Linked DNA regions of Xenopus tropicalis. The protein of the gene in region 1 interacts with the protein of each later gene in a pairwise test. Links are inferred from orthologs where the notes say so. Each region holds a gene or a part of one and is shown in the gene's direction. Other genes may lie near its edges. The genes, in order: copg1 and copz1.

What was found.
Region 2: the proteins of copg1 (region 1) and copz1 interact in a two-hybrid assay, tested with the Homo sapiens proteins (2 studies listed by BioGRID). The link is inferred for Xenopus tropicalis from reciprocal best matches to the Homo sapiens genes COPG1 and COPZ1.

The regions. Positions count from the first base shown.
Region 1 is NC_030680.2:135,686,301-135,693,267, reverse strand, and holds the start of copg1 (coatomer subunit gamma-1), read left to right. Parts: upstream 1-1,950; 5' UTR 1,951-2,047; coding exon 2,048-2,084; intron 2,085-4,797; coding exon 4,798-4,850; intron 4,851-5,302; coding exon 5,303-5,383; intron 5,384-6,546; coding exon 6,547-6,618; intron 6,619-6,967. UniProt on the Homo sapiens protein: The coatomer is a cytosolic protein complex that binds to dilysine motifs and reversibly associates with Golgi non-clathrin-coated vesicles, which further mediate biosynthetic protein transport from the ER, via the Golgi up to the trans Golgi network.
Region 2 is NC_030678.2:145,582,427-145,589,458, reverse strand, and holds the start of copz1 (coatomer subunit zeta-1), read left to right. Parts: upstream 1-2,574; 5' UTR 2,575-2,662; coding exon 2,663-2,680; intron 2,681-5,793; exon of another isoform or gene 5,794-6,449; coding exon of another isoform or gene 6,450-6,467; intron 6,468-6,667; coding exon 6,668-6,736; intron 6,737-7,032. UniProt on the Homo sapiens protein: The coatomer is a cytosolic protein complex that binds to dilysine motifs and reversibly associates with Golgi non-clathrin-coated vesicles, which further mediate biosynthetic protein transport from the ER, via the Golgi up to the trans Golgi network.

The DNA.
Region 1 (6,967 bases):
AGAAATCTGAGTAAAGAACTGAATCCACACATGTTATACGTTTCCCAATTTGTTATTAACAATTGTTTAATTCTTACCAGTTTCTAAGAATATATATTGGAGCTGCTAATGAAAGGAATTTATTTGTTTCTTTATATTGAAATTAACCTTTTAAATATGTTTGAGAATTTATCCTTAAATAAAACAGTGACAATTGCAATAACCTTGTTTGGCATTCTTCTGCCACTTTAATTTCATATCAATCATATGGTCCAGCCAGCATTCGCATGGCTTTGGAAATGGTAATCTCATACTTCATCCTATTGATTTCTATATGTATATAGCATTAATTGTGTGGTTGATTCTTCAGATGATTAACTGGATGTGGTGCTATGTGACGTGTAAAATAAGAATGAGACACATTCCAACCAGTAGCTTTATTCCCTGCCCCCCCCCCCTCCATCCTTAATGCATTTTAACATATCTGTATGCTTCTGTTTGATTTCCTTGTTTCTGTATCCAGAGCAGAAAGCCCCATGAGCACCACAAACTCATTGAATGGGGGGAGGAAGGTCCAGTAGGGCCTGGGTTTTCCTATGGCCCAAAAGACTTGTTTTGATACCTGACAACCTCTAGCATTTTGAAAACATTCCATCCATTTGGACAAAGATCTCTCCAATTCTACCCTGAATCATTAACCTTGCAAAAAAAAAAAACTTTAAGGGCTGTAACAGACGGCAAGATTAGTCACTGCACAACAAATCTCCCTTGTCATGGGCGACTAATCTCCCCGAAAAACCATCCCACCGGCTAGAATGTAAATCGCCAGTGGAATGGCATATGTGGTGCCACAATTTCCCAAAATCGCCGAAGTTGTCTTGAGAGGAAACTTCTGCGATTTCGGGGAATCGCGGCGCCGCGTATGCCATCCCACTGGCGATTTACATTCTAGCCGGTGGGATGGCATTTCAGGGAGATTAGTTGCCCACGACAAGGGAGATTTGTCACAGGCGACTAAACTCCCCATCTGTCACAGCCTTAAAGAAGAACTAATAGCATTTTTTAATTCTACCCCTGGAGGACGTCTCCCTCCACCCTACCCAATACTGTGGGGTTGGAGGACACCTTCTTGCAGTGGCACAAAGTGACAGCCAGGGCCCCACCCTACCTGCGGTGCTAATTTTGGAACAGGTAAGGCAAATAGGGCAGTATTGAGGGGGCACAGTGTGCATTAAGGATTGCCACCTTTGACCTCAGCAAAAAAACAGACAAAATGTTGGGATGATGACATCAGAGGCAGAGCGGTGACATAAGAGGGTGCAGATGTGATATTTGGAAGTGTATTTGTACATTTTGGGGGCAGGCCTTGACATCAGAGGTGGTTAGTGGCCAGATTATTGTTTTGGTTTCACAAGGCTGAATCCCAGACAGTTAAGATCCAAATAGCCCTAAGTAAAGCTGAACTGTGCAGGTCAACAATAAACAAGTGGCAACTCTATGTGCATGTCAAAAGAGGAGAGATCCATTCCATAGGTACTACTTATAAAAATGCTTTTATTTGCCTTTATTTAAACGTCAAAATGAATAATACAATTACACAAGAATCCTGCCTCCCTGTACGAATATTGTGATTTATATTTACCTGTAAAGCATTAAAAATCTGAATACATATTAGAAAGTTGCTTAGAACTGTATTTCCTTTCAACAGGCCAAGTTTTATTTTTGGGCTTACATCGTTTTAGAAAGTTACTTGGACTTCCAAGCAACTTTCTAAGGCGATGTAAACTCAAAAATAAAAACCTATTTTGCCTGGCTCATACTTTTCCTCGAACTTCCGGTGTACATTTGTCCCTTATTGCGTGCGCTATTCACAAGCAGTTCCGGTTTCAATTCAGTCGCTTCCGCTAACAGTGCGCATGCGTTGAACAAGCATTTACCGTTCTAGGCATGCTCTGTCCGCGCCAATCGCACTGCTTGTTAGTGCGCATGCGTAGGTTACGTTGTCAGGAGTGACGTGTCCCGGTGACAGCCTGGCAGGAAGTGGCCTGGTTCTGACTGAGGGGCAGAGATGCTGAAGAAGTTCGATAAAAAGGATGAGGAGTCGGGTGAGTGATATGGGGGGTTTGCACTATTGTGTCGCGTTTTATTTATTGCCCTTATATGTCTGTTTAAATGGCGAACGCTGTCACTGGCCCACACCGGCAGCAGGGAGTGCATGGTACTCAGGCCCCTGGCTCTGTGTGGGGATACACTGGCAGCCATGCAAAAGGCAGAACCCAAGAGGGACGGGTTGTGCAGTTCAGTGGAATCCAAGCCCGTGTCTGTGACCTAGGAAGGCATCAGGTGTGTGCTACACTGGTAGAACAGCTGGACGGGGCCCTAGCGTTACTCTAATAACTCTCACAATACCTATACATCGGGTCTACACCAGGAATCCCATAAAGCCTGCTGGGATTGGTCGTTTTAATAAGAAAGGCCATATTGGATATGTCTGTTCTAGGGCATTCCTTCATGTTGTAGGAGTTACTATATATTTAATTCAGAGTATTGGGGAGCCTGTACCCAGTGTGCTAGTAACAATGTAAATTAAAGCTGGAATACTGGCCGTGCCCTTGTGTTTTAGAGCCACCACCTTATTCTGTTCTTGGCAGTCCATTACACTGCTGCCCATAAGGTGCATCTGTTTGCAAATGCAGCCCCATGCTAGTTAATGGGTATGCTTTGAATCATATTAACCCCCCGATACCAATAGGTTATAGATATAAAACTGTATGTGGGAAAAATGCCTTGTGAAAATTTGCATGCCGAATGCACACGTGCAAAATGGGCGCAGGGTGTAAACATAAAATGGCATGGCCTAATCCATTTAGAGAGAAGCAGGTATGGTTCAGCTCTGTATTATATGTTGTATTTGCCAGGGCTGAGTAATTAAGCACCTTCTTTAAAGGTGCCCATACACAGGCCGACTATAGCTGCCGATATCGGTCCCTTGGACCGATTCGGCAGCTAATCGGCCCGTGTATGGGCAGAACAGAGCTGCCTGGCCGACCAATATCTGGCCTGAAATTGGCCAGATCTCGATTGGCCAGGTTAGAAAATCCGGTCGGATCGGGGACCGCATCGGCTCGTTGATGCGGTCCCCGAACCGACTGCCCCATAAGCTCAAATGTAATCCGATTGTTGAACAATCGGATTATTTTTTTTTCAAGTCCCTTGCTACCCGATATCGCCCACCCGTAGGTGGGGATATCGGGTGAAGATCCGCTCGCTTGGTGACATCGCCAAGCGAGCGGATCTTATAGTGTATGGGCACCTTAAGGCTGAAGTTATTTTAGTGATATTCCGTCCATATGTTTGTACATCAATGTAAGAGCTCTGTGTTTGTTGCCATCAGCAACTGCACCGCAGTTTTGTATGTGCTGTTTATCATTTGTACTATTTTATTATAAATTTAAGAATGTTGCAGTTTTCCTTAAGGCTTTTTATCTCCCATCAGCATCTAGATATATTATTATTTAACCAATAAACAAAAGTCTCTTCCATTGTACATCAAAGAAGCCAGCAGGGCTGTGGAGTTGAAGTCGGAGGCAATTTTGAGTACCTGGAGTCCGCGGCAATTTTGAGTACCTGGAGTCGGCAAAAAATGAACCAACTCTGACTCCTACTAAATTTAAATGGGAATAAAAAAAAAAAAAGCAAGTTTAAATGTCCCAATTCACAAACAGTCATAATTAATTACTTCTCTGCTATAAGAATAAAGCCCAATGCAGAGCCAGTAGTTCTGTGGTTAAATGACATGTATGTCTCCTTCCTTTCATTCAATGAATGTATAAAATACATTAGCATATTAAAAACAGTCGGAGTCGGAAGTATCAGAAACTGAGGAGTCGGAGTCGGAGAATTTATCTACCGACTCCACAGCCCTGGAAGCCAGTACTTGTATGATCTAGGTCCTATAATGACGCCTGTGGATACCTTACTGAAACTACCCTGATATTGTCATCAGTAATTAATGGGCCGCATACTGCCAAGTAGGCCTCTGGGTGGTGAGCCATGACAGCAAATAGAATGGGGCTTATTGCCGCTTATCTGCATCAGCCACACCCCTTTATGCCAAAACCTCACCGATAGTATGAACAAACCTTGCCCACTCCATGTTAGACTCACATCTTCATGTTGGGTACCCTTCTACCATAGGGCCCCTGATAGGATTACCTCTCATGGTGGCCCTGAGTAGACTTAGTATAATTTACTTTTCAATTGGTCTTCATTATCTATGTGTTTGTATGTTTTTTGTTTTTTTTTTCTCTTTCCAGCCTACAACTAAAAAAATGTGGTGTGGTAGTCACTTAACTTTGACACTGTAACCAGATACACTGTGCAGTTTTATTGCTCTTTTTTCTTTTTATAGTGTCTAGTATTTATTTCAAGTTTGATTTTAAAACATAACTTAATTTTGTGTGCAGGTCAGACTGGGGAAGTACAGGCCTCCTCTGCTTCAGAAGTGTTCCTCTCTTAAAACCAGAGGCGCACTCAGAAGTAGTGTACGGAGTGGAAAGACACTGGTACAGGTTGGGTGCGGGTCCTACAATGGCAGTATTTTATGACTTGGGGTCAGGGTGGAGCTTTTCCTGACCTGCTCATTATTAATGCATGCTGTGGGCTAGGATTAAAACCAACCTACTAATCAACCCAAGTGTAGAAAGCCTGAAATCACTACATGATTTGCAATACATTATTTGCATTTATTTAAATAATGTGCCTATGTTATCATTTAATTTACATAAGTTTTAAAAGTTTTTATTTTAACTATTCCAGGGGGCAGCTCCAACCCTTTCCAGAACCTTGAAAAGAGTGCAGTGCTCCAGGAGGTAAGGCCTTGACTCTTTGTGTATTTATTTATGGTGCTCAATTTGCCAGCAGTAAATGTGAAAGTTGGCATATGACCATCTCTGTACCCTCTAGCATTTTATTTCCAAATAGACTCAAGATCAATTTAGGGCTTTTTCATGTTGACTGTTGCACAAGTGCTCCCCCTCATCTCACTTACAGGGGATTAAGCAGTGACTTTCTGGTAGTTGTAGTTCTGCAGCTGAAGTGGCCTATACTGGAACTAGTTTTTTCATTTTCCTCAATTTTATAATAATTACTAACTTACAGGCCACAGTTCTTCATTAGTTCTCCTTATTTGTCATTTATTTTGCAGCAGTGTAAGCTTGTCTACAACTGTGAATTTATGTTGTATCATGTCTGCAATCCAGCATATAGAAAAATAATTCCTTCAGTAATGAATTTTCTGTTGTACCTTCACATTGAATTATAGGCTCGTCTGTTCAACGAGACTCCAATTAACCCTCGAAAATGTGCTCACATCTTGACGAAGATACTATATTTAATAAACCAGGTACGTGAAACATACAGTTTGCTCTGTGTACATGAGTCTTGATATATAAAAACTCACCCACGTTCTGTTCATTCCTATGGGATTTTTTAGAAGCATGTTTATCAAATAGTGAACTCTAACTTTCACCTGTCAATAAATATTTTTTAAAAATACCATAAGAGCGAATAGAACGTGGGTGAGTTAGTTCTCAATTCACATTTTGGTAAATTTGCCCCATAGTGTTGGCTTTAGAGCAGGCCAAAGAGGGTCTTTTTATACAAATGGCATATTACTACATCATTATTTCATCATTTACACCAACAGTGTCCAGTATGTCTTCCTCCTGTATTTATTTATTTTTTACTGATGGCTAAATGACTGATTTGCAGAGCTATTGAACTACCATAGGGTCACCTATTATTTAGCATCACCTTCTGGTGGTGGTATTTGTGTATGTTAGTTGTGTAGCAAGGACCCCACTTACCTTGATACAGATTTGAGCACCCAGGGGATGTACAATTCCTATACATCTTGTAGCAGATTCAGACAGCATTATGTGGGACTGTCAAATCAAAACAGTCAGTTTACCACTACTGAGATACATTTTCTGGTTAGACTATTAAAACCTTATTAATGAAAGTCTACACCTACTTTGACATCTCTTTGCGTGCAGTGTAGCATTCTCACTCAAATGTAGCTCTAATTTGGTGCCTAGCCCATAGTCTGAAAGATTACAATGACCACGCTAGTTACAGAACTAGTCTTGTGAAAATTTCATCCATACATCATTCCAAATCATAGCTTAAATCATCAGGTGTACAGGTTTGGTGCTTAGGATTTATTTTTGCTTAGGAAATAGGGTTGCTGTCCATGTTCCCTGCACAAGCATTCAGCAACGTTCTAAGCCTCCTAAACAGGTCCAGCTTTGAAATTAAGGCAGCTGTACTGCCAAGAATCAGATACTTGGGTTTCTTGGATTACAATGAACAAACCAAGTAAATGTTACTTAAGTGTTAAGTTGATAATGTTACTGGCATAAGCATCTCTTTAACCTGAGCAGGATTAGAAGGGGTACATAATGTTTAGTCTTGCCTTTTTGTGCATGTCCCCATGTTCATGCAGAGTTATAAGTAGAATCAAACATGATTTCCAGTACCTACAGTAACTTTGTATTTTGTTACCAGGGTGAGCACATGGGTGCCACAGAAGCAACAGAAGCTTTCTTTGCCATGACCAAACTGTTCCAGTCAAACGATGTATGTACCTTTTCTCTTGATTGTTATGTCTATCATAACTGGAAGGACAGGCAGAAATATGATTAGTGGAATATAAAGCATATACCAATTTGTTACTGAAGTTTTACCAGTTATATTCTCAATGTCTGTAGTGGGAAATACCTTGAGTCTGTGCTTGAAGGCAAACACAGTCATTGTTTCAGGCAGAACATAAAAATTTTATGTTCTCTCAGTGATCTGTCATAAAGTTCTATTATTGCAGTATTCGTTGGACTTTTTCAGTTTAACCTTTTTCCAGTTTCAGTGTTTTGCCAGAATCCCATTGCTCTTATTAAGGTTATAAATATATAAAAACATTTCTATATCAGCC
Region 2 (7,032 bases), on another chromosome or scaffold:
CAACCAGTTATTAGGTTCAGGGGGCAATTACTTTTTCACACAGGGCCATGTAGGTTTGGATTTTTTTTCTCCCTAAATAATAAAAACCCTCATTTAAAAACTGCATTTTGTGTTTACTTGTGTTATCTTTGACTAACAGTTAAATGTGTTTGATGATCAGAAACATTTTGTGTGACAAACATGCAAAAGAATAAGAAATCAGGAAGGGGGCAAATAGTTTTTCACACCACTGTATAACCTGTGCAAGGAAGTTGTATTTTATCAAATAAGAAATTGAAACAGAAGCACTATCCTACAGTTATTTCCCAAACATGCATAGTACAAATAAATACAACATTTGTTATCAGCATAGGAAATGATCTGATCAGTTCACTATAAACTGCAAACACTACATACTAATAAATAATCAGTTCATACAGGGCCTCCAAAAAAGTTGAGTTTTTTTTAATAATAATGAAGGTACTGTAGGTAAGCCAACCTACCTAGGGTAGATTCTATTATGAAAGACTGCATAGGTAAGGCATCACCTTTAATTTAGCATTTTTGCAATGCCTAGAGAAAAGATTATAATCATATGAAACCTGTTCATAGAAGAACAACTAAGAAAGGGGTGGCATATTAGCAGCATTCATATATATGTATCAATGCAATTAACAGACAGCAGGAAGAAAACTAAAATAGGTGGCTCTAATGCTATGATTCAGGAAAGGGATGGCAAAATTGTTACACCATTATTTCTGGAGTCCACTATGGCTTTTATTGTTCTGTCTAACCAAACCCCAACTCTTAGAAATGTGGAAGAATTCAAAACCTGCAAAAAGTGTTAGGATATTGACCAAGTTCAAAAGCAAATCTTACATGTGGTATATTCCTAGTGCAAAATGTGAAAATATATATATCATAATGTCCCTCTGTAAATTGTACCAGCCGGTGACAGACTTCTGAAATGGAAGGTAGAGTTGGTCCTGTGTCTGAAGGCAGTGCTGCTTGCACCTAGCACTAAGATATGTATAAAAGGGGTGGAAAATGGCCATCCCCTTATATTACTCTAATTTTACATTATTTATGGCAGTATGTATTTTATATATAGACATCTGAGTTTCCATGTCTAGGAAACCAGCTTTAGAGGGGCCATCCACAGTTTACTATGTAGATTCACCCCCCCCCCCTTTTTTGTCTTTCTTGCTTGATATCGACCAGGCAGGATCACTCAAGAGCTCCATATATGGGCCAATGAACAATTAAGTGTATTAATGATAACGTTATCTATTGTATTGAATGCCTGTGTGGCCTTCAGTAAATAGGGAAAAGGAATAGGTAGTTATTAGAATGAAAAAACTAACATACAGAAATATTAGTAAAGGTTTATAAACTAGAGTTTCCAAATCTCGAACTCAAATATCTAAATAGGGATTCAATATTGGAAAATGATTAATGTTAAAATAGGGGGCTGTGAGATATTATAAGAATAACCAGGGCTGCCATTGCTATGTGGGGAAAGTTACGCAAATTGCCTAACGTACATATAAAGTTATGGCAAAACTAAATCAATTTACGTAACTTAAACCTGCCTAGAAACTTGTGTAACTTGCATAAAAACTTGCGTACAAGCAAAAGACAATGCAGAGAAGGGAAAACTCCAGTAACCACCAATGAATGGTAAATTCTACCTCCCCCAATGAACTGACTTATTAGCACATTAATTATTCATTTTAACCATTTATATGAACTGCTTATTATAGAGTAATATCTCTGTTTTTATTTGGGATCTATTTACTGAATTCTATGAGTATTCTTTACATTAACTTTTCAGCAGTGGAATGACTGGTTATTGGGCCCCACAGCAACATCATTGGCCCCCTACGCTTATGCAAGTTACTTTGAGAAAACTTACATTTAAACTGCACTGACCCCTAATGAAAAGATTCACTTATTAGCACATTATTATTTTTACTGCTTTAAAAAAGTAAAGTAAGTAGTTTTCTCCAGAAAAGGTGGAAACCCTAACCCCTTTGCATCACCCACGTCCCCATACATATCTCTCCTTACATCCTAATTATGCTTATGTGTTTTCCTTTTTGTTTCCTCTTGTTGTTTGGGTACAAAATCCTGTATATAAGAACCAACATTGCTTCTTTGTAATCAGCTTTGGTGAAGGAACTCTTTGCTGAGATTATCATCTTAGGCAGCCAATACCCACAACACATCTACGCCACTTTTGTTATGCTTCATGTCAGAAGTTTCACACTACAACTTTTTCAACTGGCTAACATAGTGCAGAACACTGGATTGGAACCAAGAGCACTAAGCACAGTTTTTACGCAAAGTCAACCGACCTATCAATTCATTCCAATGTCCGAGCTGTAGCGTAACAGCAGGGTGGAGCTTTAAACTATTAGTGACACAGTAATTTACATCTATTTCCTCCGCCATGGTAACCATTTGCCCAATAAAAGCAGCTTCCGCTTCCAACGTAGACGCATTCGTGTTCCGCCTGTCAGTGACTGAAACCATCAACCAATTAAAAAGCTTTAGACGCTATTAGCCACACCCTTCTTCTTCCTGTTCCAATCAGACTGAGCGAGGAGGCGCGGCTAAAGTTTTGATTGGCAGATGAATTAGCCAACGCGCGCTTTGCTCCACGTCAGCAGGATAGAGAAAGATGGATGCTATACTGTTGGTGAGTGAGGCCGCGGAAATAGCTTTGATTTTAGTGTGAGGGGGCCGGTAAAACTTTATTTTTCTATGGTGGTTGCAATCGTTTGTTTAGCTGGCCAGGCTGCTGTGTAGGGACAGGGGACGAGTGGTTAGGGTCTGTCAGTGGCAGGCTTTGGGCTGTGACTCCCAGCATACGTTCAAACGCTAGGGTAGCTATTCATTTTGGGACCTGTAGGAGATATCGTGCAGCAAAGTAGTTACTTTTTGTCATTCAGGGATGTTGCACCTGAGCCTTACGCCATGGTGAGCCTGTGCCAGGGACCCCCTATTGAATGGCAGGACTGGGCAAGGGCTGCTGGCACAGAAATAATAAAAAATATCTGGTAGTGACATTTTCTGAATATAGTGTGCCAAACTCTATAGTGCTATACCCCTTCTGATATTCCTTGTGTGGGTGTGTGTTTCCTTCCTAATCTGCCTGATTTTTATGTAGAAATAGTAGTAGTAGTAATAGTAAATAGTAGTAGTAATAGTAGTAGTAGTAATAGTAGTAATAGTAAATAGTAGTAGTAGTAATAGTAGTAGTAGTAGATGATTGATTGGGCTTTTAAGGAAAAAGAAAGGTGTCTGGGCTATTCTGAAATCTCTTTGGGTTAGACTGGACAGGCCTGGCGCTTATGCATGTCAGATTGTTGCTATTAGTCTATTTGCAGTTTAACAACAGCAGTTGGGCTATGGCTGATGGTAGAAGAAATATAGAACAGTTTTAACACAATACAATATCTGTATCAGGCATTTAAACTCTTAACAATTTTTTTTTGCAGGATTTTGTTTCCCATGGGGTATTGCATATCCCAGATATAGTTTTATAGAATCTCTCTTTACAGGTTGTGATTAAAGGGTATTGTATTGGGTAAAAACAAGAAAGTTCTAGTGCATTATGCACCTCAAAATCTAGAATAAATGTGCTGAGAAGTTTTTGGCCGATTTATTGAAAATGTATCCAAAACCCTACTAGTCCTACCCATTTTTTCCACTTCCCACTGCCTTCTTTCCCAGACCTGATAGGGAACTGAAATCGTCATTTGCGTGTGTGATTGGCTATGCCCCTCCTACTGTGCTTCTGGCAGGGACCATTAGGACATACCCCCCCCCCCCCCACCACCACTTGAAACATGGACAGGCAGATCCATAGGAAGCTTTAATAAAAAGGCCATTTTGTAAAGCTAATGATTATTTTTATCTCAGAGTGAAACCTGAAACCAGCACCATATATTTCATTTATGCTATATGTCTACTTTAAACTTAGTGTTTGCCGTGTTTATCTACTTTTGAGTGACTGTTCCCCCAAATATTGACGCATGGCATGTAAGTTTCTTGAAAGAAATTCATTAGGAAGCTTTAATAAAAAGGCCATTTTTAAAGCTAATGATTATTTTTAGCCCAGAGTGAAACCAGCACCATATATTTCATTTATGATATATGTCTACTTTAAACTTAGTCTTTGCTGTGTTTATCTACTTTTGAATGACTGTTCCCCCAAATATTGACACATGGCATGTTAGTTTCTTGAAAGAGAATCATTGTATAAAGAGGTTGTTTGGGAATTGAGAAGAACAGGTAACATCTGCTAGCAGAGTCAATGACACCTTGATAGGGACTAACTCAGTAAAGAATTCATACATGCCTGAATCTATGCTCTGTTTTTATTACTATTCCATGTTTCTTCCTTTTATATATTCCCTTTAACAAGAATATCATACATTGCTGTCTTTGAACAGTAGCATAAATTATATTCTCAGTCAGCACCCTAGGCATAAACTGAACAGAACAACTAAAAACCAAATAGTTTAATACTGACAGTATCAGTTACCACTCACAAATTGGAAAGTGAACGTGTCCATCAACCACAAATAAAAGGTAGAACCAGAACAGGCATTAAGTGCTAACGCTTTCCAAACTCCAGGTATAGCACAGTAAATTGGCTCCTTTGTGTTTGGACAAACATGCAAATAATGACTTTCCTATGGTAAGTGGTAAACCATTAATTGAATTCAGGGTCATCGGTGTTTCCCAAGGGGCATCCTCGTCTGGTGGTTGAACTATAAGATGACTGAAAAGCAGGGACAACGTGCTAAATATAGTTTGTTATTGAAATATAAAATGGAATATATTGCATTTATCTAACTAAAAGCATCATGCGCATTTCTAATACAGAGAGGTAGTTTAACAGGTTTCCCCAGAAGAACAGTAGATAGTGGGTATCCAACCCCAGCTCTGATTCACACAGGGAACATTATTTGCAGTTCCCTCTCAGGTCTGTCTAGCTGCTGATTGAATGGCATCCTACAATGCAAGTGCTGAGTGCCACATAATCTCCTTCTCAACCTGGGAAAGCAGCAGCTCAATTCGGTGAATGGTGCTAGCAAGTTTTTTACATTTACGTAACTTTTTCAGCAACACCAAAGGAAACTTAAAGGTACATACATGTATTTAGAAGTGTATAATGCAATGAAAAAATGCTTCTTCTTGACACCATTTGTCCCCTTTAAGTATAATGTGAGAGGTCTGCTGGATTTCAAGCCTTTCCCAAAAAATATTGTCTACCTGGATTTAGAATTTTCAGTGTCAATTTTAACCTGGAGGATAAGCCCCAGCAAGGATTTTCCTTCTGTTACTTTTATTACAATTGAATAATCAGAGTGAATTACTAATTGATTGCTGTGGGTTACTAAGCCAAAGAAAACTTTCCTTGTAAATATTGCTTAGATCTGATCCGTTCTCAGTTATGGCACTTTTGTCACAGTGACAGTCAAACTGTGCCCCTCCTGGTGCAGTTAAACTTCTAGATATTAAGGGTATAAGGATACTGGAAGTTCAAAAGGATTTCTGTTATCTATTTTCCCTTGATATGGTCCTAGAACACTTAAATAATTTTTTATGTTTTTTGTTGGAGGGTGTTGATATTTATTTCCTGTATTAATGTATTCCTTATTAATGTGTTGGGAATCACAAACATTCTTGGGTTGGTAGGGCAATGCTGTACAGTTGAATCAGCTACAAGAAGTGCAATGCAGCATATAGAATGCATGTATCTTGGTACATGGATGGCAGAGAGGTGGAACTACATGCGAATGAGGAACAGCGTTTGAGGTGAAGTTCTGTTATACACTCCGGCTGTGAGTAAGTGGAAGTCAGTGCATCACAGAACTTTGTCTCGAGGGCTTCACTACTCCATTAAAGTGAGCTCTCTCTAGGCTAATGGACTGGCTGACAAGTGGAGCATGAAAGGTCCAAAAAGTCTCACTATACCCCACATCCTTCCTGTGGTTATTCTGTCAAATGTGGTCTTATCTCTTCCATTCCACTTTTCTCTCTTTTGTCACAAACTGTGCATTATACAAGGATAGCCTTGTGTGCAAGTACAAGATCAGCTCTGTGCCCAGAGTAATTCATTTACAAATCAGGCATTCCTCCCGGTATGAAGAACGTTCATTGTGCCTTAGGATATCAGATTGATGTCAACTAGAAATCTGGCAGCCTGAAGGGGATTTTATCTTTAGCTAGATCTACTTATTGGGGAAATATAATAAGTGGTGTTAGTGGATGGGTCATAATATATAGTGGATGAAGGGTATTGCCTCTGTTTTTTGCATTTATATGGGAAACCCATGTCACGAGAACAACCATACCAGTATTATATTCCTCTGTTTATTCTGTGACACCACAGTTTCTTTTGTAGGTGTCTGTATGATATCACAGTTATACATATAGTATGTAAGGGAGTTGCCATGTTGCTTGAAAAGGCTGTAAGTATATGCAGACATTTACTTTATTATTACTGTCCTTAACATTAAAAAAATAGTCTTTCCATATCACACAAACTGGCTTCTTCTATAAATATTTCCTCCCAGCCATCACACATTTCTCTCTTTATTTTCCTGGGCACGACAGATTGCTTTCCTCCTTTGTTGCAAGGTTAGAGTGATTATTGTGTTTCTCTTGGCAGGATCCTTCCTTGTACACAGTGAAAGCTGTTTTAATTTTGGACAATGATGGGGAGCGGCTCTTTGCTAAGGTAGGTTTTAATAAAAGTGCATATTGGTGACTGCTAGCCCTTAGTGCTGCCAGTTTCACCTATAGACATCAGTGTGTATGTCCTTGCACTTGATATTTTCTCATTGTGTCTATAAGCAGATGCAGCATAGAAGCATTATAAATGCATGATTCAAAGATGCTTCCCTTTTGTTCTTTTATGTACAAACATGCTGATCCAGAACGAATGTATAAAACACACAGCAACTTCAAACTTGAGACTGTACATGTGGTATATAAGCACAAGTCATGTAGATGTGCTGCTATTGTGATACTAGT